Astyanax mexicanus: one gene and its partners. Each later gene encodes a partner of the first gene's protein in a complex. Links are inferred from orthologs where the notes say so. Each region holds a gene or a part of one and is shown in the gene's direction. Other genes may lie near its edges. The genes, in order: washc4, washc3, washc5 and wash1.

Region 1 (6,898 bases):
ATTGAAACCTCTGGAATATAATCAGGAGGAAGATTGATGATGACATACTATCAAACCAAGCAGAACTGCTTAAAGTTTTGGCACCAGAAGTGGCATAAAGTTATCCAAAACAGTGTGTAAGACCGGTGGAGAAATGCATGAAAACTGTGATTAAAAAAAACAGGGTTACTCCACCACATACTGATTTTAGAACTTCTAAAACTTACTGAATATGAACTTCATATGAGCAATAATTGAAGCTATGCATCTTTTTTTCATTTCCTGCAAATAAATGCTCTAAATGACAATATTTTTATTTGAAATTTGGGATAAATGCTGCCTGTCGTTTATAGCAAGACAACAATAAACAATCTATGAATAGCAAAATCAGAGAAACTGATTTAGAAAATGAAGTGTTCTCTTCATTTTTTTCCAGAGCTGTATATACACTATAGAGTGTATATTAGAGATGCACCAAAAGAACAGTTTTGTCCGAAACATGTTTCTTCATAGGTTTTCATTGGTTTGTCTATTATTTTAACAATTGCCTAAATGAAATAGCCTTAATATATATTGTCTTGTTTGTTGGTTTGTTGTTCAAAGAAACAGCAATTGCAAACCTACAATCACAAATATGGAATGAGCATGAGTAATTTTTAATATATAATTAGATTGTGCTTATTTGGGTTTTTCATTTATTCAGCCAAACACAAAGTTCATTTTTGTTGATGTCCGACAAATTAATTTGGTTATATATTCTTCATGTTGACATACAAATATCAAAAACAAAGTAAATAATCTGAAGTCAATTAAAGTCAAGTAATATACAAGTAAAAATATATAAATCCATATAATATAAATCTAAATAAAAAGTTAGGCTGTGTAAATCATGTACATAATTGTATATAACAACTTCATATCAAATTGACATGACCACTTACCTAAAGAAAAAAGACCAGCAAAACGAGACAAGAATAAAAAGATAACTCCTTCCTTTCCTCATGCTACTCCACCAGCCTGCTCCTTCTCCTGACAACAACAGGTCAGCGTGTTTTAAACATCTGCTGTAGGGGTTTGTTATGGCAAATAAGAATTTAACACACTTTATAAAAGAACTAAACTTATTCATACAAACACTCTAACAACAGAGAGCAAATTAACAAATTAGAATGACAAAAATATTCCATAGAAAGTCCTACCTACGTGACAGCCGTCCCTCCACGACCCGCAGCTGAGCGGACTGGCAGAAATGCTGAATATGTTGAATGCCTCAGACAGACACGAGAGGGTGAGTGGTAATTATGGTATAGATTAAGTGTAAGTGCCTAAATTCACCACTTGGCGGACACAGAGAACTCAGTGTGGACGTCCTCCACAGGGTTGCCAGGTCAAAAAAAATAAATACAAGCACAGGCAAAAACCAGAACCAGTCATCAAAAGGCCATTAACCTATCCTACATGTGTCTGCCTTTGGATTACTCCAGGATCAGAAGGTGGTCATTGTATCTTCCACAGTCTGCGAAGTATCAAAGCTTTTTGTTGTCTTTGCTACTAAGGACAATTATTTGTTAGCTTAGCTTAAAGCATATTTTAGCTAAAAAGTATACAACATTGTCAAGACATTGTCTACTTTTGCTACTTTGAGACTTCCTTGGCGGGCGGCACGGTGGCGCAGTGGGTAGCACTTCCGCCTCCCAGCAAGACGGCCTGGGTTCGATTCCCGGGCGGGGGGACCCTGGTCTTTCTGTGTGGAGTTTGCACGTTCTCCCCGTGTCTGCGTGGGTTTCCTCCGGGTTCTCCGGTTTCCTCCCACAGTCCAAAGACGGCACGTTCAGGCTAATTGGAACTTGATTGAAATTGCCCCTTAGGTGTGAGTGTGTGAGTGAATGTGTCTGTGTGTCTGTCTCTGTCTGTCTGCCCTGCGATGGATTGGCGGCCTGTCCAGGGTGTATCCTGCCTTCCGCCCGATGCCTGCTGGGATAGGCAGCATCTATGGGGCCTAGATGTAAGATTAAGGCCCATTTCGGAAGTACAACTTAGTCCCAGTACAAGGCGTGTACAAGGCCCTGGCCAACCAGAATCCATCTAGCCCTTATTCCATCCATGTGAATCCTACATGAGCATGCCGGCTGGGTAGTATATTCTTTTGTTTAAGTTTAGTGGTTTCCTAGCTGGGCACGTTTTTAAATCAAATGCAACATGCCTGTTGGTCAGCAAGCTTACCAGTTTATGGGAATGTTCAGCAGGGATTACTTTTTAAGGAAGAGAGCACTAAGTGTGGACACCAAAAAAAATACAACTTAGCTACCTGACAACGGCCTAACATTACTTCTTTCTCTGTTCATGGTTGTAGGTTTTTGCAAACATTCTGTTTCTGTTTGAATCTTTATTTTCCATCGCTAACGCTTTGAAACAATATTAGACTCCAGCGTCATAACTAATTTATTTGTGCACATTGGTTTTTTTTTTATTGTGTTGATTGAACATTTATTTAAAGGTATGGTTTTGTATGATTTATATTAAAATTAGAATTTTTAAAATATGTATATATTGTTTTATTCTATCCCTTAAGCCTGTACTACCGTTTTAAGGTTGTTTTTTTCATCATCATAATCGTAATGTAACCAAAAATAACATTTACTCAAAGTTCCTTAGGGATCACAAACATTTTAAGGGTTAATCAGCAACAGTGTTAGGAATGAAAGTAAAAATGACAAGTAAATGTAACTATTCAGCTTTATCAGATGGTGTTTAAACAAATCTAGTGGATGTTGAACTTTTACTTTAAAAAACACTGCGAGCTTTAGCCCGGAAATTCAAGAATACTTGAGCAAATCATGGGACCGGAGAGCAGAGTGCTGTATTTACGCCGCTGTCCACCAGAGTTGCCAGGTTTGCGGTTTTACCGCTCACTTTGGTTTGTTGGGAAATCCAGTCTCTGGTAAAATTCAGGGGAGACGGGTGCGTTTTTTTGGGCTACTTTTAAAATTACCAAAAAATAAAAAAACAAAAACGAAAAAATATATATTGCTAATTATGTTACTATTAAATGTTCTTGATTGGGATATAAAATTGTTTTAAATTAACTTATTCAGACTTGCCAACCCAGCTGGCATTTTAACGTTGAATAAATGTTGAATCAATGTTGATCAACGTATATGTTAGGGTTGAATCAACGTTGTTTTTGAAAAGTGAATCAACGTTGATATAGCAACATTGTGTCAGCGTCATACATTCAACCTTAAACCATATAAACCATAGCTCACAAAGATAAGAAAATCCTATGGTTAACAAAGTGTTAACAATAAACTCACATCACTGCAGTAAAGCTGATGTGACCAACCAATCTGATTCAACATCTGATCTCAAAAACACTAAAACAGTAAAACTAATAGAACATGAACATAGGATTGCAAAACACTTTTCATTCCTCCATCCAATCGTTTTTAGAAATTGTATGGTGATGAAATGTAAAATGCTGATTCAAAAGGCAGAAGGTTGAGGACATGTTGATTCAACGTTAAAATGTCACCGTTAGCACAACCATTGAACATTAAATGTTGATTCAACGTTGAAACAACATCAACATACATTACTTCAGTCATTTCAACTTGAAAGTGCCAGTTGGGAAGTCTCCCGGAAGTTCCGCAACGGCTCCCTGGCTCCCAGTTTTTTAGTGTGGGTGGGCAGTGTTTTTGTCCTCCTGGATGGAATACATTCAGGAGCATGGCTCCCATGAAACCTGGCCCTGAAATATTTTTTTGCAAATTGGGATGTCTGCTAATGAAATGTTAACATACTATTAATGATTTTAAGATACCAATACTGATAATAACTGATAAAATACGAAGTTGTACACTTATACTTGTTTTGCTTCAAATGTGTGAGAGTAATATATTTTTGGCTAGTTTAAGATTCTGAAGGGCAGGTTTTAGACTAACTTTGGACTGGATATTTTTTTGGTGGACCTGGCAACCCTGCTGCCCTGCTACTTTCTCTACTATCACTCTGCGGAGGGAGGGCAGCTGTCTGCTGGAGAACGTCTCTGTGCTAGCTCTCTCTTCACAGGATGGCGGTGGAGTCGATCTCAGCAGACTGGGAGTTTGATCGCTTTGACGATGGCTCTCAGAGTAAGTGTCGCCTCTGTTTAGCTGAAACATCGGTCAGACGTTAGCTCGATTAGCTGTTAGTGGGGTTAGCCACCAGGCTAGCAGCATATCTAACGTAGCTAGGTTAGCTAAGCTAGGTGGCTAGCTGTGTTTTGGTCAGATGATCAGGAGCTCCTGCCAAGCTGTAGCTTTAGTGATCAGTCTCTCTGAACACTGCCTGGGTGTGTGACCCGGGGATCAGCACATTTTAAACATCCCTGTATTACTATCAACTGTAAGACTAGGACAGATATGCTAACTAGCTAATTAATGCAATAGATATTCAGTGTGGTTCACATAAGCACTGAGCTAACGTCTCGTGATCTGCTGAACTAACGAGCCTATCAATTCAGCGATTCGTCGCCAAGTTCTGTAAATTGTCTCCTTTTTTAGTCATCTTTCAATCACATATGTAGTTAGATGACTAGCCTGTTGACTGCATAACGTAAGCTAGCTAACCCCATGTTCACCCATTCAGTCATATGACCAAAACGACAAGGAGCAAGAGTCCATTGACTCCTCTATTAGAGACGTAACTACGTTACTGTGGTTTTAAGAAAAAGTGCTGTTTTAAGGAAGTGTTGGAATGAAAACGCCCCTGCACGATGATATATGTGTAGCTAACTAACTTACATTTGAAATTGTCAGTATACCACTTGCTGAAGTCAGCATGTTAAGCATTATTTTTAGCATTGTAAACAGTGCTGCTGGGTATCGAGCTACTAACTGTCAGTGTCACTGACTTGAACTGTCAGTGCCAGTTTTCTGAGACTAGCTAGGTAAACGAATTAAACGGCCACAGGGTGTCTGTACTGCCTGACTGTAAATATTAAGACAAATATTTAAAAAGTGTAGTGCAGTGAAAAGAGGGGGAGGGTTGAGGGGTTAATGCGAAAATGTCTAATGATTGTTGTATTGCAGTAAAAATGCAATTTTGCCTTTTGATTACATTCTAGAAATTCATACTGAAGTGCAGCTAAAAAACTACACAAAGTTCTTGGAAGAGTATTCATCTCAACTCAAAGCTATTGAAGAAGCCCTGGATGACTCCATTGGTGATGTCTGGGATTTCACTCTGGATCCAATAGCTTTGCAGGTGCTGTATGGTTTGTTTAAACTGGTGATGTTTAAGTTGATACTCTTTTGTTTCTTTTTACCTTCCTAGACACTAAATGCATCTCTTTATATTTTGTCTGATTACAGCTCATTCCCTATGAACAGTCCTCACTTTTGGAGTTGATTAAGACAGAAAACAAGGTGAGTCTCTAATTATGGGACATCTAATTATATAGAAATGTGTATTTTTTTCTTTTCTGTACTTTATTCTGTAGGATTGGAGAGACTAGTCAACCAAAACAACCGGACTAAGACTTACTAGAGGAGGTGGTCTCGGTCCTGTTCCAAACAGTTTAAAAATATTTGTTTGTAGTGAGAACCTTATCCGGTCTCGATCCCACCCAACTGTCAAAATACTCCTTTTATTTGAGCTAAACAACTGTTCAGGTGCAGCAATAACCTGATATATTAGCCAAATAATTACCATAGCTGTGAACAAATGCTGTCTTTGCTGCTGCTTCATGCTACATTGTTTACACCCTAAACACTGAAAGTGCAGCGTTTACTGATCACGTCCACGCAGCACTGTTTACTATGGGGCATCTCATTGAAAATACTGCGTTTGAATTTGTAACAGCAATATTTTCTGCATTCAAAGATTTAACAGCTTCACGCTGCACAGATATATTCATGCTGGTCTGGAACACAGAACTTTCTTCCTGTATGTAGTTTCTTGCTCCTGCACCAGACAGCTCTGACCAATGGTTGGTGCACATTTTGGTGCATTTAGGTTTAGGCCTGTGTGAAAACACTCAGGTTAACAAACTCATCAACTGATTTGGACAAGAGAAACCAAGTACAGGTGCAAAAACACCTGAGGTTCTGCATACTTGCGCTTGTAGTGCTTATACCATTGCGTGAGAGAATTAATTCCAAAGGGCGTTTTCTGAACTGAAATCTATTCAGCAGTGATCATTAATGTACCTAACATAGTCACAGCTGGGAGGCAGTATTGAACTGGTGATGTTTCTGTAAGATTTCCACAGATCAGAAACACTTAAAACACACATAGTCTAACAAAGAAGATGACTTGTTGGCTGTAGCAGATATCATGTCATGTAATACTTTTTCAGTATGAATGATGTTGTCTTTTGTTTGTTACTGTTCTTTTTTGCAGGTCCTTAATAAAGTCATTACAGTTTATGCAGCTCTCTGCAGTGAAGTCAAGAAATTGAAATATGAGGTATGTGACAGTTTTACATTGTAAAGAGATGTACTATATAAAAATTGCTCATTATATGATAAACAATAATGTACTGAAAAAAAATTAGGATGAAGGAAATGTAAATGTCTTTGCATTTAAAATTGTAATGTTCATTACCTTTTAGGCTGAAACAAAGTTCTATAATGGTTTGCTGTACTACGGTGAAGGAGGTAGTTGTTGATTCCATTTTATCCTTTAAAACATCTCTTATAGGATTTAGTAACTACTAATTTCTGTTTTGACCAAGAGATCTGTAATTTAGCAGCACATAATGCATTACGTCCTATGGTCCAAGTTCTTGCTCATTTGTGAATCCTGTCTTGTTTGAAACTTTATGAATGATGTTTTTTATTGACAGTGTCAGACACCAGTGTGGTGGAGGGCGAATGCCAAGTTCAAATGGGACGCTTCATCTCCTTTCTGCAGGTTGTTTTTATGTTTGTGGCTTAGT
Region 2 (7,455 bases), about 17 Mb from region 1:
TTTAGGTTAACAATGAAATGCTTGCGGATTGTGATATTGTGATGTTTTCTGAGACAGTAATCATACAGTGAAAATCACATCTCATACCGTTGCAACCCTAGGAGTAGCCTGCATTTGTGGTTGCTGCCCAAACGGGCGGCCTCTTGAGACCCAGGGTCAGTCCAGCAGCACCACATAAATTATGATTTTGGGCCTGGCAGAACTTATCTGCAGTATGAGGGAGATTTTAAAAGGCTCTATTCTTCCCCATGTGAAGGCTCACATACATTCAATCATCAGTTTAAGTCTGAGCAGACAAGCAGTCTGTCCTGATGAGCAATCCAGTCTGAGGGACTCCAAGCTCCCAATGATGACCATCATCATCATCATCATCAGATTTAACATAGTATTATGAGTAGAAATAATGATTAGCCTGAACAGGATTTACAAAGCCTATTATTCTGTAGCTAAGCCCCATGTTTTCCAAAGTGCCTGTCTTTTAATCTTAGCATGTGTTTACTTTAGAAACACAATAGTCGACTATAGTCTGAAAGTTTACCAAGTGTACCAACTGTAATTCCCACCCATGTCACCCTCTGGATGGTAGGTGGTGCCTGTGCCGATGGAGAAGTGCAGTACGGAGGACATTAAGGAAGCCTTCGTGGTGCAGGCTCAGGAGCAGCAGATGGAACTGATGGAAATTCCAGAGCACACAGACCTCAAACAGGTACATTTAGCCACTTACTTACAGAAAAGTGAGGAGTAAAGGTCATTTAAGAATAATTTTATTGCCTTTTCCATAATTTCCTAACATGTATTCCAAGGTTTTCTGAAACTTAAGTTGAATCAGGGTTCACACTAGTGCTGGGTGGTATACTGGTTCATCTGTTATACCAGAGGGGAAATTAAAACCGGTATGCATTTTTAATATACCGCCATACCACAAGAGGCGCTGTGGAGTGCTGTGTAAAACAGTACAGCCAAAAAAGCACACTGGCACAGCTCGCTAACTAACGTTAGCCAGTTAGCATAACAAGCTTATACACTGGAGTAATGTGGAGCCAAACGCTACGTCCTGCCTGGAGAAAAATGCAAACAGCACTTTATCAGAGGAGTTACTGATGCTGTTTCGTAATGTATGAGTGTTTTTATTTGAGTAAAATACAAAACCAATAGCAATTATTAATTCAGAAAAAAGACAATTGGAATAACTCAATCGATCCACAGCTTGGCGAAAAGTTCCTCTTGTCCCCCAGATGAGCCCAGAATCGGTCCTGGGTACAGAGTCATTCGTTTAGTACAAGTGACAAAACTCTCTAAAACCCTGGATACGAGGTGTAAAAAAAACTCAAGAGCAGTAACTATAGCCCTTTAAATGTATACATACTGTAGCTTGAATGATAGTTTTAATGCTTTTTTATGTATAGGGCAAAGCATTTGTGAAACCCAAACCCTTCCAGTCCTCTCACTTTAATTAAAACATTCTCTGCTCATTAGCTCTTGGAAAAGTAATAAAAAAAGAAATTTATTAACAAACAAGCCACATTTCATTAGTATCAATGCAGAATTTCAGCATTTGAGAAGGGCAAGTATAAACATGCTGTATCCTGTTTTGTATTGGTCTTGGTTGTTAGTATTAAGTCAGGCTAAAATAATGATCAAAAGAAATTTTGAATAATGAGTAAAAGTGTTACATTTGTTTTTATTAATTTTTGGAAGTAAAAAGTTTAAATCTGGCTTTTTTCCTTGCTCTGTTTTAAAGATTGCTCCACCAGGAACTCCTTACTTCTATGTGGAACTGGACACAGGAGAGAAACTGTTTTACCGAATCAAGAAGAACTTTCCATTGCAGTTTGGCAGGTAAACAATCCAATTTGAAAGAGTCTTTGTACACAAATAAACCTCGCACATTAATTTTTGAGCAAAGCGAGTTTATGAATATGTGCTATATTTACACCAGGGAAGTGTTGGCAAGCGAGGCAGTGATGAACATTCCGACGCGGTCAGACTGGAGAGATTGTAAAAGCAGCAAGGAAGAGGAAGAGGCTCTGGCAAAAAAGGTCCGCTCTGGTTTTGAGGCTTTTGACTTCACCATGGATGACTGAGAATCTTGCCAGTAACCAACACATTTCTCAATGCACACAAACACACTTGAAAATGACCCATTTGGTCTGATTTTTTTTTCCAAACACAGATGCAGAATTTCAGTACATATTTTCATTTTTTTATGTTTTTAAACTGATGTCATCCCAGCATTTTGCTCTTAATATTTGAACTGACCAGAGATGGATTCTGTTGAAAATATTACAGAAAGAAGTTTTTCTTGACTATTGTTTTTAAAGGAATTTGTGGAAGAACCTGTTCATAGTCATTGTATAGTCAAGAATATCCTCTTTTTACCAAGTGTTTGTTTATTAAAATACTTTTTGAACAGTGGACACTGAGTTTGATGTTTGCTTGGAATCTGTGTTTTTAGAAATACTTCTTAAAGAATTGAGTCATCAGGATGTTGTGAATGTTTTGTACAACACGCTCAACATCAGCAAATGACATTTAGAACAAAACAAATATAAAAAGGCAAGATGTCCCAGGTGATCATAGTATTCTGTCTCAGGCACACCTTAGACATGCTAAAGAGCATCGCATGATTAAAGGTGAAACACAATCTGGAAAAAATTGCCATTCTATAGTCATCAGTAAACACTAGTCTAGACAACCACTAGATTTGTGACTTTTATGGCTAGCAAATGCGACTTAAACCGGTTTCTGATTTATGCATCTCATTGTAAAACATAATTCAAACCAAATCTGTGCCAAATAACGGACTGTTTATTAAAGTACATACACATACCTGGAATGAACTTCACTTATGAAGCAACTTATAGCCAAATATTAAGCGATGGAAAGATAGAAAGAGAGAAACAGAGGGAAATCCTCCCAATGTTACTTACAATCAGCCATTTAGCTTTCGCAGTTTTAAAAAGGCTTGGCCGAGACTCACCTATGTGCAATATCTCTCTCTTTACCTGTTCCTTGCTGCTCCAACATGAGCTTTCGCTGTTTACTCACTGGCTCCATCATGATAAACCTACATGTCTACAGCTATCGGCATTAGAAGTGCCAAGTAATGAAATACAAATACTTTGTTACCTTACTTAAGTAGAAATATTGGTTATCTATACTTTACTGGAGTAATTTGTTTTTTTTTTTTCAGACAACTATTTACTTCTACTCCTTATATTTAAAAAAAGCCTCATTACTCCTATTTTCTTTTAGCTTGTTTTCATTCTGGCTTCTCCTTGTTTAAAAAAAACTCTGTCCAGATAAATCTCTCCATCCATACAGAGTGAATTTGATTATGGTTGGATGAGAAGTATAAACATATAACCTTCCGACACCCTATCGGATTATATGTGATCCATCACCACTGCACACGTCACACTCCAGCAAGAACATAACAGACGTATGTAGCCTAATATGAAGAGGATCTCTGGCAGCGGCTCAAGAGAACTTGAGCGAAATGTTTGTGACACTGTCGGTTCTAGGGGCATTGGCCCCAGGTAAAAAAAAAACTGATTGGCCCCCAGAAGGGCCCCTGTCCTGTCACTCATCTGTCCATTGATCAAGAGGGCCAATCAAATATTAGTGGATGCATTTCAATGTCCAAACACTAGAGGCGCCAATTAGTCTAATAAGAATGTCCAGTGTAATACAAGCTTATATAGAAGAGACGTTTTAATGTTTGGACCTGACAGTATTTGTTCAAAAGTAAAAAGAATTAAAAAAAGAATAAAATGGGTTTGATCATATGCTTTGTGTATGAGAATATTTTCTCTATATACAAAAAAATGCATGTAAAATATTAAAAAATGCAGCTCATTTTGTGCCAGAAGTTTCACCCAAAAATATAAAATTTGCGATCAAATTTGCAAAATATATGCATTTAGAAGCAAGAAACAATAACTGCAAAGAAGATAAAGCAACCACGTATATATAAAAATATATATTTGGTATATATTTTTCTGTTTTGAATGAGCAACATAAACATTTTCCTGTTAATTCTTAAATTCCTTTTGATGATGAAAATCCGTCTCAAAAGCAGCTGGCTATCCAGAAAAAAACATACCTTATGCTGGTTAATAGAATAACAAGCTAACTTCCCATCTTAGAATATTTTATCACTGGATGGTTAGTATTTTTAGAAGGCATTTTGATGGCAGATTTTGATATTTATTTTATCTTATTTTATTGCGCAAAATGAACACTGAACATTTTACTGTTTAAACTTACATAAAGTGCGTTCAAGTGTTTGAACATGGCGTGACTGGTGAAATAGTACTTGTCCCCTCCGTGAATATTGTGACCCCCTTGCTCAGGAAAATCCTAGATTTGGTTTGAGAAAACGCTTCCAACAGGCCTGTAAACCAGGACTCTTAATTTGGAGTGGAGCTCTCTGCAGGCGGAAGTGTCGCGGGTCATACTAAAGTCACATGAGAGACTTGAGGAACGATGGTTTCAGAATACTGAACTGCAGAGCGGAATTTATACCGGCTTAAGATCATTTATATTAGCTTTATAAAACAGTACAAGATCAGATTAATATGGACGAGGACGGGTTACCTATAGTGGGCTCGGGAGTGGATCTGACCAAGGTGAGGAGGGTCTGTGTGTCTGCGCTGTTACAGCTGGAGCTGCGGGCTTGTTTACTCTCTGAGTAGCAGATCAGAGAGCTGTCATTTCAGTCTCTCTGCTGAAACCTGTGTGTGTCTATGTGTTTGTGTGTGTGTTCAGGTTCCTGCAATTCAGCAAAGAAGAATCGTCGCTTTCCTCAATCAGTTTATTGTTCACACGGTTCGGTTCCTCAACCGGTTCTCATCTGTCTGTGAAGAGGTGGGTTAACATTCTGAAATAGCTGGTTACGTTACCCTATTTCCATATTTTGCATTTACTTTTTTTTTATTCAATTGCTTTACGATGTGTTGATAATTTAGCAAAATCCCCCAAAAGAAAAGGACCCAGACCCAGACCGTTTACAGTAATGATCTCCTAAAAACGTTAATCTAGACCTGTCTCTCTCAGTGCCCTGGTCTTGGAGGCTCCCTGCCCTGCACATTTTAGTGTGTTTACTTCTTTAATTCACCCCTACAATGCTGAAAGGGCGGTAAATAAGCTTAGCTAAATCAGGTATGTTAAGAAAAAGGTGCAGGGTAGAGGTTTGTGGAACACTCCCACATAAGTATAACATTTTCTTGATAATTTTGGGAAGATATAGGCTGTTCATGTCTTGGTAAGAGGTGTTGTAGAAAAGAAAATGAAAGGTGGGCTACTCCCACCTCTCGTCCGGGGTACAACTCCCCTGCGTGTTCGTTTGATAGAGAGAGTCAGACAGATGGAGTGAAGTTGAAAGCAAACCAGGTATTTATTACAAAGTACTGAATATCCAGGAGAACCCACACATGAAAGACCGTCTAACAGCCGTCCCAGCATAAGTTCTGACCCCCCTTCTGATCTGACTCCACGTTTATACCCCAAAATGACGTAAAGCCTGTTGATGAGGCGTTGTTAAAATCATCTCATGTTAGCATGCACGTGTTAGCACTGAAGTTTCCCAGGTTTGATCACACCACCAGTGTTTGACCTTGACTGTCTCCAATCGGACAGTGTGGCATTGTCTTCATGACTGGACCGAGTCCGGTAAAAACAGTGTGGTATTGTTTTAATAATTACAAAGTGTCGTCCTCCCCATGTGCGTGCTCCCATCCCGCTTTGGGAGATGAAAAACAACGCACACACAGAGTGTAAGGCTGCACTGTTCGTACCCGAGTCTCTTTTGTATCAATTCAGTTCGTACAAAGTGCACTTGGCTGATGATTGATTGTCAGTCAGAAACATGCAGTAAACTAAATGCTTCAGGCATAAGCTGTATGTGCCCAACAATTGGTTCTATATGTTATTTGTTACTGTGTTAGCAGCGTGTGGTTAGTCCGCCATATAATAGATCCTATGTGTTAATATACGCCTTATATATCATGTTGGTTAATTTGTCATAATAAGGTCTGTGTTAGTCACATGCCTGATCAAACAATGTTTTACTATATGTGTAAAGGATATATTGTGATTATTGATTAATCTTTTATATAAATGCGTGTAAAATATACTGTGAGTGATAAAATGATCAAATATGGTGTAAGTATTGGTTAATGCATATAAAATACAAGGTTTCACACGATGATTATGTAATTTTAGATACCAAGATAAGTAATCATGATTGTGAGATGTTTGTCAATACATTCAAGGTAAAACAGGGTTTCTTCGTAAGATTTCCCACAGAGGTAAACTTCCAAAATAAGCTTCTAATTTGTCTAATATTGTGGCAAATGAGATGAGAAGTGAATTTGTCAGATCATCTTACTAACTAGTGTGTATTTTTTATTGTAGAAACTCTCAACAATATCATTACGGATTCAGCAGATTGAAACAACACTCAGCATTTTGGAAGCAAAGGTAAAACATTTCTAAAATATTTTGTAACTCAGACAATTGCATACAGATTCTGCAGGCGATTATATGTGACATTTCGCACTTTTTTACAAGTTAACTCAGTTCTCTTAGCACTAACATCACTCTTCTCATTATGTCTAAACAGTCTGTTGAGAAAGTTTAAGTGCTTGTTCCTTTTAATGTAAATGAAAAACTGTTGATGCCTTTTCATTACTCTTGTCTACAACATCTACACATTTTTAGAATTTTAAACTTCACCTTGTTCACCTTGAGCTAGAGATAGACTTGCTGTTAACTACGCATTTGTGTGTGAACTGCATGTAGGGGATACAGATATAATACAGATATTATAATACAGTGTCTGCAATAACTTATATCTGTATTAGAGGTGGTAACCACAGGGCATCTCACAATATTAGCACGATACCTTTAATGATAATATGATGATAATATTATGATACTGTGATTCTGAGATACTCAATATATACCAAGACAAATCTCTACGATACTTCTCAGCACCTGTGCTACTGTAGACGATAAGCAATAGCAGAAATAAATTATATATAGATGTCAGTTTCACAGACTTTAACAACCAGTATTCATCATTGCAAGTTTACCTTATTTATTTTATTAGAACCATCATGTGGATTAATGAAGCAGTAAATTTAATAAGTAAGTCAAATTGGGGGCTGAGTCCAGGGAGTTCAGAGTGCCTATGTTTTAGTAAATATATTGATATTTGATCCCAAATACAGATACTGTCTCACAAACGAAAACAATACAGTATATTGCTATATTGATATTTTGTCTGACTCCTAATCTATTTGTTGTTTTGCGACTGCACAAAGGAAAAATAATACTCATCTAAACAGGTGCTGAGAGATCAGGATTATTTAAAAAAAAAAAAACTGCAACAGACTGTTATGTCTCTGCCTTTTTAGGCTTTGTTCTCTGGTCTGCCCTCTAGTGGAAGTC
Region 3 (7,050 bases), on another chromosome or scaffold:
ACGCCTGGAAGAATGGGAACCTTAAATGGTACTTCTATTATCAGAGTGGAAATGTGGAAGGCATGAACGGAAACAAAGGCAGAAAACGGAGGATCCGGAACCGTGGTTGGGGACGGTCTCGCAGCAGAAAAGCCAAGAAGTCCACAAACTTGGAGAAGCCCCCGCCAATAAAGTTCAAGACAGGAAAAGATATTTTAAAGGAATATTACTTGAAGCACAAATTCTTGAATGAGCAGGATCTGGATGAGCTGGTAGCCAAGTCTAACATGAGCTACGAGCAGGTCCGGGAGTGGTTTGCAGAGGTTTGCCGGAAGGTGGACATGGGCGCTGACCCGTTTGATGACAACGTAAACAACGAGCAGGAAGAGGAGGAGTCGCAGGGGGAGAATGAAATAGTGGGTGAGGAGCAAGGACCTTCAGCTCCAGGTGAGGAAGAGGGTGAGGAAGATGAGGAGGAGGAGGATGATGAGACCGATGACAGTGAATCTTGGGAGCCCCCCCAAAGTGTTAGAAAGACTTTGTCTGGGTCTGAGGATCAGTAATTTTTTTCTTTCTTTTTTTTCTTTCTTTAGTCGACAGCTAATTTTTGTGTGTGAAAACGGCACTTAGAAAGGTTAGTAAAGAAGAAGGAGAACATTGACTATGAAGATCCATGTACAATTTGCTGATTAATCCTGCTTGCATCACTTTTGCATTTTCCCCTCATCTTCTCATTCAACTTTCCTGAGCTTAGTCTATGTTTTCTGAGCTTAAACGGAGCTTTGAGGTTTCATCACAAACTTTCACAGACAAAAAAAATCTGTGTGCTCTGTTCAAATGTGAACAGAGTTACACCCAACATGAAGAATCCTGGATCAGAAACAGTGGCCTGGATTGTTTTTTATCTTTGAGTGCAATTTGAATTAAATTTTGTGGTGGAAGAAGAGATTGTAATCATGCCAAGTGGTTTTAGAGGAGGCGGGCTGAGTTGATTTTGGTTTTGTATTTCCCAGCTCCTCCCACTGCCCCAAGGAGGAATCATGGTGCCAAAGTTGTACTGTTCCTGAATGTTAACAGTTCCCTGCTTATGAAAGGAGTAAGCAAATACATAGTGTATGTATTCTCACCAAAAGAGACATATATATACACACATACGATTGGGCACTTTGTATTGAATAGACTTTTGTAGAAGAACAAATTGCCTTTTGAGCCATTTAATGGCATCTAGTGATAAAAATGATGAACATCAAAAGTTCACTGTCTTTTATTCTTGATAGACAACGATATCCACCACCATCAACTGTTGACTGACATACCCGTCTATTAAATCAGCACAATTAATAAGGAGCTGTGACTTGAAGCACCAGCTGCTGCTCTGGCATTATGACTGGCACAGCATGGGTCAAATTTGCCAGGAATTTTTTTTTTGGTCGTACGAGATGACTGCATATGACAGCACAAGACTGTTACCAGTTAGCACACTGTTACCAGAGCCTGGACAAAAAGAGAGGGATGGACTGTGTGTTTCAGCTCTCACTGTTTCAGCTGGACTGTTTTAAAAACCTGTTTTTCTTCAATTTGTGAAAAGGCATTGGTTGGGTTTTTCCCTGTTTGCCGATTTTTACAAAACGGTAATGTGTTTGTAATTCATGTTGATCAAATGTCCCAGAGGCTTAACCCACATTTTCATCAGCTTAGCAGTGCTTCACACCATAAATAATCATTCTAACCTATTTTTTAGGCTACCCAAAAAGACCAACTTCTCAAATTATTTATCAGTTTATTAAAATTGGGGTTTTCTTATTACTAACACACACAAGTTTCAGTTTTTTTTTAAATACGGTAGCTAAAAATTGTGCGAATTTGCTTTTCTGTGAGAAGAGATTGACATTGGTGGATAATTTATTTACCATGTAGCATGGTATATATGGTATTTGATTGTGTTTTTTATTGAAATTTTAACTATTATAATTATTTCCCTCCCCCACAAACACGCAGCACTATTCCTTAATATTTTTTAAACCGCCCCCTTTGGGTCACAAAGTCGTAGTGCATGTTTGAGCTGTTGAGACGATGGCAAAAAGAGCGCTCATTTTGTACATACATTTTGCTGTTGTATTTTATAAGTAGTTTTATGCGTTTTTATAAGTTTGTATTTATGATGACAAATCTCACCTTGACCCAAGTGGATTGCTCATACAGTGACTATTTTTTTGTGTGATCTGAGCTGATTATACTAGTCAGATTTTAAAGAAGTTTTGTTCTAAACTCTTGTTGAGCATTTTTTGCTTAGCTTGCGATCCTCTGGAGTTGTCCCTGTGATTCTTCACCTTTTATTGTGACTGTAAACAACAGATAAAAAGTACATGATCATAAGTATTGTCTTAAAATAACACATCCGAATCATCTGTCCTTTCAGTAGCTAACCTACCATAGCAAAAAATCAGTTTAGGCAAAGTTGAAGATCAAGATTTCTTCTGGGTTTGAAAGTGATTCATATGCTAAGTTTGCTTTTTCCTATGAATGTGTTTTACCAAGTGCAACTGTATGTCTCCTGTTTCTTCCACCTTTCACTAGTATTGTTAACTGCAGTGCACTTATTAAATCTTGCGTAGAATCACTGTAAGGCTCAGTAACACTCTTTTTCAGATAATGGGAATACGACCAGGGGACCATCATGGAGGTGACTTTGCGAATCCTACTGAGCCTTAAATTTGAATTTGTTCACACCGCTGTGGTGGCTAAAGCTTTACTCCCCAGAGCCATAGGCCTTGTGCAATGCTTTTTAATTTAAAAAAAGGAGAAAAAAACTGTTTTAATAGGCTGTGGCTTGATTGATTTAGACAGAAATTATATTTTGTACTTGTTTGAAGACAACAATAAATTTAGATGAAAACTAGTGGATGTGGTCTTCTTTCTCTTTAACAATCTTACTGTTGCTGCGAGGTAAAACAACTTGTATCTCCTGTTTGTAAGTAAGTTTTGAGCTTTTTGATTAGTCAAATTTTCATGGGGCATTAATTAAGAAAAAAAAGTTGACAGTAAAAACAGGTTATTTTGGGTTGTCAGATTCTGGGACAGGGTTTATAGTTATATATATATGTAGTGTATAATATATAGTATATATTATACAGTGAAGTGTATTTCCTAGTACACACTATATTCACTTAATAATCTTGTTCCCACGACTTAATTATCTCTTTAATTATCTTGTGGCCATGCCCAAATAAGTCGTCCCAACAATTTAATAATCTTGTTTTCTTGTCTTAATTATCTTGTGGCCACACCTTTATAAGTCGTCCCCACAACTTAACTGTTTGTGACTTTATTATCTTGTCCCCACACCTTAATAAGTCGTCATGACAACTTAATGATCTAGTTTCCAAAACAGAATTATCCTGTTCCCATGACGTAATTATCTTGTGCCAACACCTAAATAAACTGTCAATAAAACTTTAAACTATCAATTTAATGCTCACTAATTCCTATTAATAAGTCTTCCCCACAATGTAAAAAAAATCATTAAAAAAATGATAATAAAGACATTGGAAAAGGATAATTAAGTTGTGGGAATTAGATAATTAAGTTGTGGTGACAACTTATTAAGGCATGGCCACAAGATAATTAAAGCGTGGAAACAAGGTTATAAAGGTGAGGCCATGAAATTATTAAGGCGTGAAAATTAGCTTATTAAACTATAGGAACTAGATTATTAAATTGTGGGAACAAGACTATTAAGGTGCGGGAACAAGAAAATAAAGTAGTGGAAAGACTTAGTAAGGTAAGGGGATTGTGGATGCCAAACACTTTCACACTACTACAGTGTGAAAAATGAAGTACAGAAAACTACAGAAATAAAGAAAAATTGATGTTTAACATACGTGGCTTGTACTGTGTATGTATATTAGTATACAGTGCCCACATATTTTAATGTTTATTAATTATTTTTAATAAAAATATTTTCTTTCCATTAAAAAGCTGTGGAATTTTAGGGACTTTTATTTTAGATTGGCTAAATAACCGCCATTTAGCAGCAGCATCCGCGCGGCGTAGGTAACCAATGGCAGGCGCCGATTTGATCATGTGACACTCATGTGATGTGTAAACAGTAGGATACAGATGAGGAGCTGATCTGATCTGAGAGGAGGTGAGTGGAGTTAATTAGAGATAAATTTAGTATTTTACTCTGTTACAGAGCGCAGGAGCGCAGCGGATTAAACCTACAGATACTCTACAGCACACAGACACAGCGAGACTCCCTGTTTAACCAGCTTAATACCGGATTTAGCCTTTTAGAAATGAAGTAGCAGCTGAATCAGTGTCAATTAATGTAAACTAGGCTAGGCTAAGCTATGGGGCTTGATCTGTAATTTATCACTGACAATTTATTACTGACTACCATTACTATTATATTACCTATAACTATAATTTGCACATTATTATATGAGGTACTGAATAAAGCTATGTAATACTCTGTTTAAACACAATGAGAGATTTTATACTGCAGTTAAGGAAACGTTACTTACACTAGTTTTTTAATGAATATGCACCAGTTGTTGTGAAGATAACTGATGTCAGCCATATAGACAGTGCAAGTACGCAGTTATATAATAATATGTGTACATCATAATCTGTTTCCCATCACTACGTGCAATATTACCACTTATTTAGCTACTTTTTGTTATTTACAGTACCATTCAAAAGTTTGGATACGCCTTCTCATTCAATGTATTATTATTATTATTATTATTATTATTATTATTTTTTTTTACTTTATTTAATTTGTTTCCTACATTGTGGATTAAACGTTTACAAGAAATTTCAGCATGTGTTCCTGTATAGCTTTAATGTCGTTTTTAGTTTACAATTTACAATGTAAGAAAAAAGGCCTAAAAATAAAGAAACACATTGAATGAGAAGAGGTGTGTCCAAACTTTTGACTGGCACTGTAACGTTACTTACTGTCAACCTATGTGCAATATCACTGCTCACATTGCTCACCACAACATATACACACGGGGTAGCCGTATTTCTTCCTCTGTATGATAATAATGAGTTTCACATTCAGGCTTAGTAATCAAGAGCAGAGAGAGGGGAGCTGATTAGAGAAGAAGTGTACGGGAGCTTAATTGTAGCTGTGGAGCTGTAAAGAGTTGTATGCTGCACCGAGCATAAAGTCCCATAGAGAAGAAAATCATCACAGTTTAAACTTCATGTAATTTGGTATGGTTTCCTGTGGTCTGGTCACTGAAAGAGAACAATACTGAAACTAACTAAACCCCGAACTAAACAATATTGGCAAGATCCTACTCCTACCATTTATAATCTGATTAGTAGCATTTAAGCATATAGAAACACAGAAAGACTAGTTTTTTCTTCTTTTACCCTGTTCTTCAATGGTCAGGACCTGAAAGGACCGCCACAGAGCATCTATTATTTGGGTGGTGGGTCTTTATTCTCAGCACTGCAGTGATTCTGACTTCAACTAATTGAAAGTTGCATTGGACATTTGGTGATGCTGTTTGAAGTGTTAGTGTGTGTTGTGCTGATAAAAGTGTATCAGACACAGCAGTGCTGCTGGAGTTTTTAACCATTGTGTCAATTCATTGCATATATTATTATTTTGCTTTCACCCTGATCTTCAATGGTCAGGACCCCACAGGAGAGAACCACCGCAGAGCAGCCGTTATTTGGGTGTTGGGTCATTATTCTCAGCGCTGCAGTGATTCTAACTCCAGCTATTGAAAGATGCAACTAAATTGATTGAGTTGCATTTGCATGTGGATGTATTTTTACATTTAGGAGAGGAATGGATCTCTGAGGACCTACTCTGACTGCTCGCTGTGAGTGAAGGCTGCCACCATGGTGGACTTTCTTGCGGAGAATAACCTCTGTGGACAGGCCATCCTGAGGATTGTGTCTCGGGGACACGCCATCATCGCAGAACTGCTGCGCCTCTCTGAGTTCATCCCCGCAGTCTTTCGGCTCAAAGACAAGACTGACCAACAGAAGTATGGAGACATCATCTGTGACTTCAGCTATTTCAAGGTAGTATCTTTGATTTGGTTTTGAATCTTATGGGTGGGCTTCTGTACCACAGCTTACAGGAGCTGGATGATAAGTCAGTGTGGTTTTAACCCCCATTGCAGAGTCCAATGCAGTTTTGGTGAATTACTCCAGCACATGATTCTTAAGGTGTAATAGGAATGTAATAATGTTGTTTTAATGACAAATGCATTTAAAATATAAGTTGCATTGGTTTGTATTGAAAAATACCTTTTTAATGAAGTGATTACTAAAATATTATTTATAATATAACTGGGTTATTACTTGTATACATTGAATATATTCAGCTCTGGAAAAAAATAAGAGTTTTTACTATTTATAGGTATATGTTTGAGTAAAATAAACATTGTTGTTTTATTCTATTAGCTACAGACAACATTTCTCCCAAATTGTAAATAAGAATATTGTAATTTAGGGCATTTATTTGCAGAAAATGAGAAATGTCTAACATAACAAAAAAGATTCAGATCAAAGAAACAAGTTCATATTCATAAAGTTTTAAGAGTTCAAAAATCAGTATTTGGTGGAATAATCACAGTTTGGTTTTTAATCACAGTTTTCATGCATCTTGGCATGTTCTCCTCCACCAGTCTTACACACTGCTTTTGGATAACTTTATGCCACTCCTGGTGCAAAACTTCAAGCAGTTCAGCTTGCCTTGATGGCTTGTGATCATCCAGCTTCCTCTTGATTATATTCCAGAGGATTTCAATTTGGTAAAATCGAAGAAACTCATCATTTTTAAGTGGTCTCTTATTTTTTTCCAGAGCTGTATATATAAAGTATCTTTATGCACATTAATATATAAAATTACTAGACAGCTGAAGATAATTTTTAAATGTTTACATTTCTAAAATGTAATTAGATTAACATTAAGTATAAGACTAAAACTGGCAAAATATGATAAATATGACAAAAACGTGTTTATTTTATATAGCTTTTGTTTATATATTTTTTACATGTATTATATCTACCCCATACCATTGTTAAATTTATTATATTTTC
Region 4 (6,830 bases), on another chromosome or scaffold:
CAAAACAGTGGAATAAAAGAGGAGGAGCCCTGTCTGAAGTGACGTCAGGACGCACAGCATGGCACGCAAAAAAAGATTTAAACTTCAGTTTTGAAACATAAACAAGCAGCAGAACAAACAAACCTTTGAACATATTAGAGATAATAAATGAAAATATCATAGAATCAAATTAATTATTAATAATGATAAGATGATTAGACCATACTTAAAAAAAAACTATATGTGGAATAGGTACTGAAGCTGCAAACATCCCACTTCACAAGTTACTCAAAGGAATTTCATTCATACAAAGGGTATGTTTTGGTATCATGTTCCCACAGGAACACCTACCCCCCCCCCCCCCCCCCCCCCCCCCACGAGTCAGGCTAGTGTTAAAAGTTTGACTCAACAGCAATCCATCAATATTATCAAATAAATAATGTTCCATACTCATGCATTAGGATTCATGGACTCACCCACTCTGACTTGCAACCGCCACTGCAGAATTGTGGAGGGAGCGTCACAGTGTTGTTGATCAATCAGAAACAAGACATTTGTGTGTCATGAATATTCATTCCCACCCACTCCTCTACTGAACTAAATCAGTCTAAAACAGGAGCACCGGAGCACTTTTTTTTCATAAATATCGGTTCGCAGAGCATTCGCAGGGGATTTCATCCCCTCCCTCTGTTCCTGGGGGCAAGTTGTGGAGCAATTATTTATTATTGTCCATTGTGATGGGGAGGTGAAATTAGATTTTATTTTATTTTATGTTAGAATGTTATTTTACCACTCACTTACCATCTGATTGATATTGGTTCAATGACACAGTCAAATCATATACAATACTCCAACACTCAGGACTGAGGCTTGCTCACATGTTTTTTTGGGACTGACAAAGTGAGTGACTGACACAGTTAATGAGAGCGTGTCACAGAAAACATACTTATTGTTTTGTCTCTAAAACTCAGTTATGAATCTGATTAATTATTTAAAACATATAAACTGATTTCCTTAAAAAAAGCAAAGTACGTTAAGCGAACTCAAAAAATTAGAACTTAAGTAACACCCTGATCTGAGTACAAACCTACACAATGTGCCAGTAGGTTTATATGTTTCTCTACCCTAGGGAGTCTTATTCTTTTATTAATAATGCTCTACAGGGAGGTGTGTGTGTATTTGTACATCTGTGTAAGAAATGTAAAGTAGCTAAATGCATTCTTACAGGCTATGTGTCCACAAACATTTAAACATTAAACAAAGTTCCCAGACAGGCATTAAACCTAGTCGTAAACTATATTTTGGAAAATCTCTATTTAAACTGCTATGTAGTCCAAGGCTAGACTTAATCCCTGTTTGGGAAACTGCCCTTATAGTGAATGCAAGTTTGTTCTCTTTCAGAAACTGTGCTTTATTAAACATTTATTTCTCTGCCTAAATTTTGTAAAGCCCAGCTGAATGTGCCCAAGGCATTAGTGCAGTCATAGCTCAAATCAGCTTCTTTATTCAGTGATATTTGTTAGACATTCTCCTAACATTTACCCTACAGCTGTCTTTCAGCTATCCTCAGGCCTAGCTCCTTAGCAAAAACACTGAATTTTAAAGCAAGGTATACAAAACTTTTGACAGGTGAGAAAACTCATATTGTGCTGATCATCTTCAAAAAAGTTATTTAGTACTACCATTGGATTAACATGTTTATGTTTCTGTTTTTTATTGTTTTTATTGTTTTTAATCTGTTATTTTATTTTCATTAGTTACTAAGTATTTATCTGCCAAAAGCCCTGGCAATATAATTAGCTGGTAATGGGAAGTGCACTAAAGTAACCTGTAATTTTTATTAATATTTACCTTTTTGTATAGTATCACTATAAACCTTAGCTTTGGTTGGATTTGTTCCCTTTTACAGACAGTTGACTATATAGAAAATTCTATATAGTGAATAGTGAAGAAGTCAATGAGTGACCCATTCCAAACACAGCTCTTGAGTTTTTTTTTTTTTTTACAGTAGTTTAGTTCATTTGAAACTGTGAAAAAAAAAAGTCTCAGAACCACAGCAATATTTCTCTTCTGCTTTCTCTCTCAGGACTTTCAAAACACCATCTGTGTTGCTCATCCAAGCTGAGTTATATTAGTTCACATCAACTATAGATAAAAGAGGGCGCCAGAATTAGGCTAACACTGACACACTTCACCGTTTCAGCTATATGGACAGCTTCTCTTAAGTGGGTATTCAGTACGTGAATGTATATTCCATATATACTAAATACTATGTATGGTATATTCCATGACAATGAAGAATTATTAAACTGTTTCTTTTTTCAATGATTTAGATTGGCCTATAAGGTCACCATGCCCTATGCCAAGTATCGGGTAGAAGACTATAGACCCCAGGTTCTCTTAAGTGGTGGAAAACCTTTACCTTTAGAATTCTTGCACACATAAAAAAGGAATTCCTTAAGGTTTTCACAGTGAACATCAGTTTAAAATTGGCTGGATGAAAACAGTAAAGAGAATAGACAGTACAATCTCCATAGAAATGCACTGAATTGAATGTGGTGCTCTAGAGCAGTCGCATCATGACCCTTCAAGGTCACCATGATCAATGCTGACCATTCTCTAGGGTGCTATAAATCCATCAGAAACATCTGGAACAAGCTTCACAGCTAATTAGGGATAGATGATACTGGTCATTTTCTGTTCATCCTTTTGGAAAATAAATTTAGAAATGCAAACTATGTATACGTTTTTTATACATTTATACATAAACACATTTAAAATGTAGGAAAAATATACATAAATATTTTTTTTCTTAATGCACTGCAATTGCTTGGTAATAAAAAATATATATGAAATGTATTTCATATATATATATATATATATATATATATATATATATATATATATATATATATATATATATATATATATATATATATATATATAGAAAATCCACATATTTCTCTATGAATAATAAAACTAGTAAGATTTTCTTGCACACAAAGCATGGTAATTCTTTATGATTTTTAAAATGGAAAATTATATTATATATTAATGTGGACACTAAATTAAAAATTATATTTTAGAACTTAAAGTTAAATAGCTGTCACAGATTGTTAAGTAAAATAGCCAGAGTGCTCCTATAAGTGCAGGGTGGAAGGAAAAGTAGTTCCTAACCTGCAAATTTATTTAAAAAAAATATCTCGTCAGAATTCTGTGATTGACTGTAGTAAAATCCTCATAGCAATGCTAGCTACATCATATTAACTGTAAAACCTATAAAGCTATAATATAACAGTGAACAATGAAATAGTTGGGAGACATAAAATAAATAAGTCTAAAATAAATAAAATTCCAACAAATAATATATAAATAAAAAAATAAAAACAAAGGGGTTAGTATAGATTATATTTATTCATATAATTCATATGTATTTGTATTACATTTATTTAAAATGTATGTTGTTTATACATTTCTTCATTAAGATAATCTATAATAAACTAGAATATTCAAAGTAAACTAATGTATATTTTCTTAAATATTTTCTTAGAAATGTTTTATTGCATCTTAGGACTGAAAAGTGAAGACTGTTTATGTATAGATTTTGTAATTTTGGGCACTAAGGTATTATCTAAATTATGTTTGATTAGTTTAATAAGAACCGTAGGAATATTTTGCCACCTTGTTATAGATTTTAATAGAGCAATTCAAACTGTATTTGGTATTAAAGTAACCTAAATTACACATATTAACAATTCCATCTATTAGATGAACGCGGTACTAGCTTGTGTCTACAAACTTTTGGCCAGATAACCTACAGCAGTATCCTTCCGCCGCTGCTCATGTGACTAGTCGGTGCGGAAGTTTTGATAACAGAGCTCATTTCAGTGCTGTGTTTATAGGCGATGCGAGGATTTTGTCGCTTTAGCTGCTTTAACTGCGTTATAAATGGTCAGGTAAGGATGTCCTTCTTTATTTTTTACTGTTTTGGGTTGCTTAACTAAGTATTATAACGTATGGTGCCTTAGTGAGGTAAAAGAGCGCCGTTTCTGGCCTGTTTACGAAGCAGCGGTTCGAATTTTCCGTTCCACCTTAAATAACAGGAGAGCTTCGGTTAAAGCATTGTAGAATCTGAATAGACGCTGATATGCATCTGTTGCACTTTTTAAGGTGGAACGGAGCAATTGATAATGAAGCCAAGTTTAGCCGTGTAGCTTATTGGATATGATTTAAGAATAAACGAAATCATCTGACACTTTCTCCACACAGGAAATACGCCTATTAATGTGCGCAGTGTTGAGTTTTATATGGCTAATATTTGTTTATTAAATTTTCTAATAAATTGTTTTGCCCTGACAGTGTAAACAGTGTTTACCCCTAGGCAGTGAATTGCAAGAGAATATAGCAATAGAGATATTCATGTTCACACATGGGATGATTCAGTGTGTAATGCTTTTTTGTTTTCTTCTGTGTGTGTTTGTGTGTGTGTGTGTGTGTGTGTGTGTGTGTGTAGGATGACTCAGAAGTACCACTTGGAGGGACAGGTGTATTCTGTCCCAGTGATCCAGCAGGACTTGAGGAGGGAAGAGGCTGTGCACCAGATCACTGATGCTCTGCAATACCTGGAAAATATTTCAACAGACATCTTCACCAGGTATAGGGCTAGGAGATTCATGTAATTAATTTGATTAATTACATTTTATTGTGATTGCAAAATGGGATAATGGAGATTGTACATTCTCCAGAGAGAATCTCAGTAGAAAGAATTGTGCTTCTGTCAGAAACCTGTAAAGAACTCTTTTATGTTGCAGTGATTTTAATATTTTACACTTTTCCTAGTGTGAGATACAACAAGGTTTTGTTTGCATTGTGTTTAATATAAAAGTTGCATGTAAGCTTGAAGGAGTGTGCTTACATAATTAGATTGTGAGTTTATGTCTCATTCCTTTCTTTGTCTGCTTTAGTAACTGTATTCTATTTAAAATACCCTCAGGTATGTATTGAAATGGGTGCATGCAAGTTCTGCAAGTGGGTTACAGACTGTTACAGACTACATTTAAATTTGCAGTCTAACTTTGGCTGTTGGATGTTAAAAACTGTCTGGGTATTATAATACGACTGTAAATGATACAGTAGTTTTAAATAGAAGTTACATAAAATTTTATATTCCTATGATGTAAACATGTTATACCACTGAAAGATAGGAATGATGTATTTATTGTAAAACGTAAGTCATATATCATGATTTATTAAGGATATGTACACAGGCCTGTTACTGAATATTTTATATCTAAATATCTTTAGCTGAATTCAGCAATTGTAGTGTATTCATGTAATTCATAAAAACACATTTGTTTTAGTAAGGCCAGTCAAATTGAATTCTCTTCAATGTTTAGAATATATTTAGAGAGGGCAGAGTGATAATGGCTTTTAAATCCCAAATCCCATTAACTTCCATTCAGAATGCAAAGGTCAAAATCAAAATGTAAATGAGGCAACCCATTTAATGTGGCCTTTTAATTTATGCTAAATTCTGGTAATAGAAAATATACAAATGCAGATATTGTAAAGGCTGTTATTGTACAAAAATAAACAGCATGCTATTTTTGAGTTTGATTAAGTTGTACAGGCATATATATATATTTACAATCTTGTGTAAGGAGTAAAGCTTCAAATGAGATTTGAAGAAACTAAACAAAAGCTATAAAACAGGCCTACACCTCACATTGATGGCCGGGCAGATTTTTTATCCCGGACATCTGTTTGTTTTTACTCACAATTACACACAATTATTGTAATGATATTGGTGTTGAAGGCCACTAATAATGCATGTGACTTTGATGGGGTGAAAATGCTGAGATGTGATTGAACAAGCCATTAACCTGTTTACCACCCTGTTATCTACAAGGTTTGATTTATTTTGAAAAAAATAGACTTTAACAGCAAATAAGCATAATAAAAGTTACATGTTTGTGCACATGTCTAAATAGTGATTTTGTGACTTGTGGTTGGTACGAAATATTTTTTAAAGATTATACTTTAAATGTGAGTAAGCAACTCATCGTTAAAGTTTTACTCTCAGATGCAGCTACTCTTTGCGCAGGCCTGAGGGACAGATGGAGAAAGATGGAGATAAAGGAGGTGGAGATAGAGGGCAAGTGTGGATAAACAGGGGAATGACCTATGCATTTTATGCATATTATTCATGTGTGTGCAGCTGTGTGTGTTGAGAGGATGTTGTTTGTTCTCTGAGTGTGTGTGCGTGTGAGTGAGTGTGAGAGAGTGCTCAGATATGCTAATATCAGCTCCAGTAGCAGGGACCGAAAAACCATCCATAGCGTTACCATGACAACATAGTGGAAGAGAGAGATGAGGGAACATGTTCGTTTGGTGTGTGTGTGTGTAGGGGGTAGGGTGGTGGGGGGTAACCGCTGGTTTTCTGGGTCAGCTCCATTAGGATGTACTCTCATTCTTGTCTTTTTTCCTTTTTCCCTCATTTCAGTAATTTTTTTTCCTTTTCTAGACAACAGGGAGAACCCGAGGCTACAGAGTGTGTGTTGAGTACAGCTGACACACACTGAATGAGCACTGCAAGCATGACTGCACTCCGCACACTTTTGGCCATATCATGTTGTAGGGAGAATTAGGAGCACCCCGTGTTTACATTCTGTAGAAACAGAGAGTCACAGTGAAGTCTTTGATTTTGCAGGGTGTCGCAGAGTGTGGAAAAGAATCGCACTTACCTCCAGGCCGTCACAGACCGTATCAAACTGGCTCAAGCACGAGTCCACAAGATCAAAGGAAGCAAAAAAGCCACCAAGGTGATCTACACACCTCACACGTGTCCAAAC

The links.
Region 2: washc4 (region 1) and washc3 share a complex: the UniProt entries of both Homo sapiens proteins name them as parts of the WASH core complex. The link is inferred for Astyanax mexicanus from reciprocal best matches to the Homo sapiens genes WASHC4 and WASHC3.
Region 3: washc4 (region 1) and washc5 share a complex: the UniProt entries of both Homo sapiens proteins name them as parts of the WASH core complex. The link is inferred for Astyanax mexicanus from reciprocal best matches to the Homo sapiens genes WASHC4 and WASHC5.
Region 4: washc4 (region 1) and wash1 share a complex: the UniProt entries of both Homo sapiens proteins name them as parts of the WASH core complex. The link is inferred for Astyanax mexicanus from reciprocal best matches to the Homo sapiens genes WASHC4 and WASHC1.

The regions. Positions count from the first base shown.
Region 1 is NC_064409.1:54,355,188-54,362,085, forward strand, and holds the start of washc4 (WASH complex subunit 4), read left to right. Parts: upstream 1-3,874; 5' UTR 3,875-4,048; coding exon 4,049-4,109; intron 4,110-5,083; coding exon 5,084-5,223; intron 5,224-5,330; coding exon 5,331-5,384; intron 5,385-6,360; coding exon 6,361-6,426; intron 6,427-6,571; coding exon 6,572-6,617; intron 6,618-6,805; coding exon 6,806-6,873; intron 6,874-6,898. UniProt on the Homo sapiens protein: Acts as a component of the WASH core complex that functions as a nucleation-promoting factor (NPF) at the surface of endosomes, where it recruits and activates the Arp2/3 complex to induce actin polymerization, playing a key role in the fission of tubules that serve as transport intermediates during endosome sorting.
Region 2 is NC_064409.1:37,361,036-37,368,490, reverse strand, and holds the start of washc3 (WASH complex subunit 3), read left to right. Parts: upstream 1-4,442; 5' UTR 4,443-4,580; coding exon 4,581-4,631; intron 4,632-4,770; coding exon 4,771-4,869; intron 4,870-6,417; coding exon 6,418-6,483; intron 6,484-7,455. Other genes in the region: cwf19l1 (CWF19-like protein 1), read left to right, coding at 587-706, 1,742-1,839, 1,940-2,084. UniProt on the Homo sapiens protein: Acts as a component of the WASH core complex that functions as a nucleation-promoting factor (NPF) at the surface of endosomes, where it recruits and activates the Arp2/3 complex to induce actin polymerization, playing a key role in the fission of tubules that serve as transport intermediates during endosome sorting.
Region 3 is NC_064408.1:112,355,478-112,362,527, reverse strand, and holds the start of washc5 (WASH complex subunit 5), read left to right. Parts: upstream 1-4,047; 5' UTR 4,048-4,126; intron 4,127-5,781; 5' UTR 5,782-5,841; coding exon 5,842-6,027; intron 6,028-7,050. Other genes in the region: zinc fingers and homeoboxes protein 1, read left to right, coding at 1-542. UniProt on the Homo sapiens protein: Acts as a component of the WASH core complex that functions as a nucleation-promoting factor (NPF) at the surface of endosomes, where it recruits and activates the Arp2/3 complex to induce actin polymerization, playing a key role in the fission of tubules that serve as transport intermediates during endosome sorting.
Region 4 is NC_064416.1:14,044,518-14,051,347, forward strand, and holds the start of wash1 (WASH complex subunit 1), read left to right. Parts: upstream 1-3,810; 5' UTR 3,811-3,927; coding exon 3,928-3,935; intron 3,936-4,492; coding exon 4,493-4,633; intron 4,634-6,688; coding exon 6,689-6,800; intron 6,801-6,830. UniProt on the Homo sapiens protein: Acts as a component of the WASH core complex that functions as a nucleation-promoting factor (NPF) at the surface of endosomes, where it recruits and activates the Arp2/3 complex to induce actin polymerization, playing a key role in the fission of tubules that serve as transport intermediates during endosome sorting.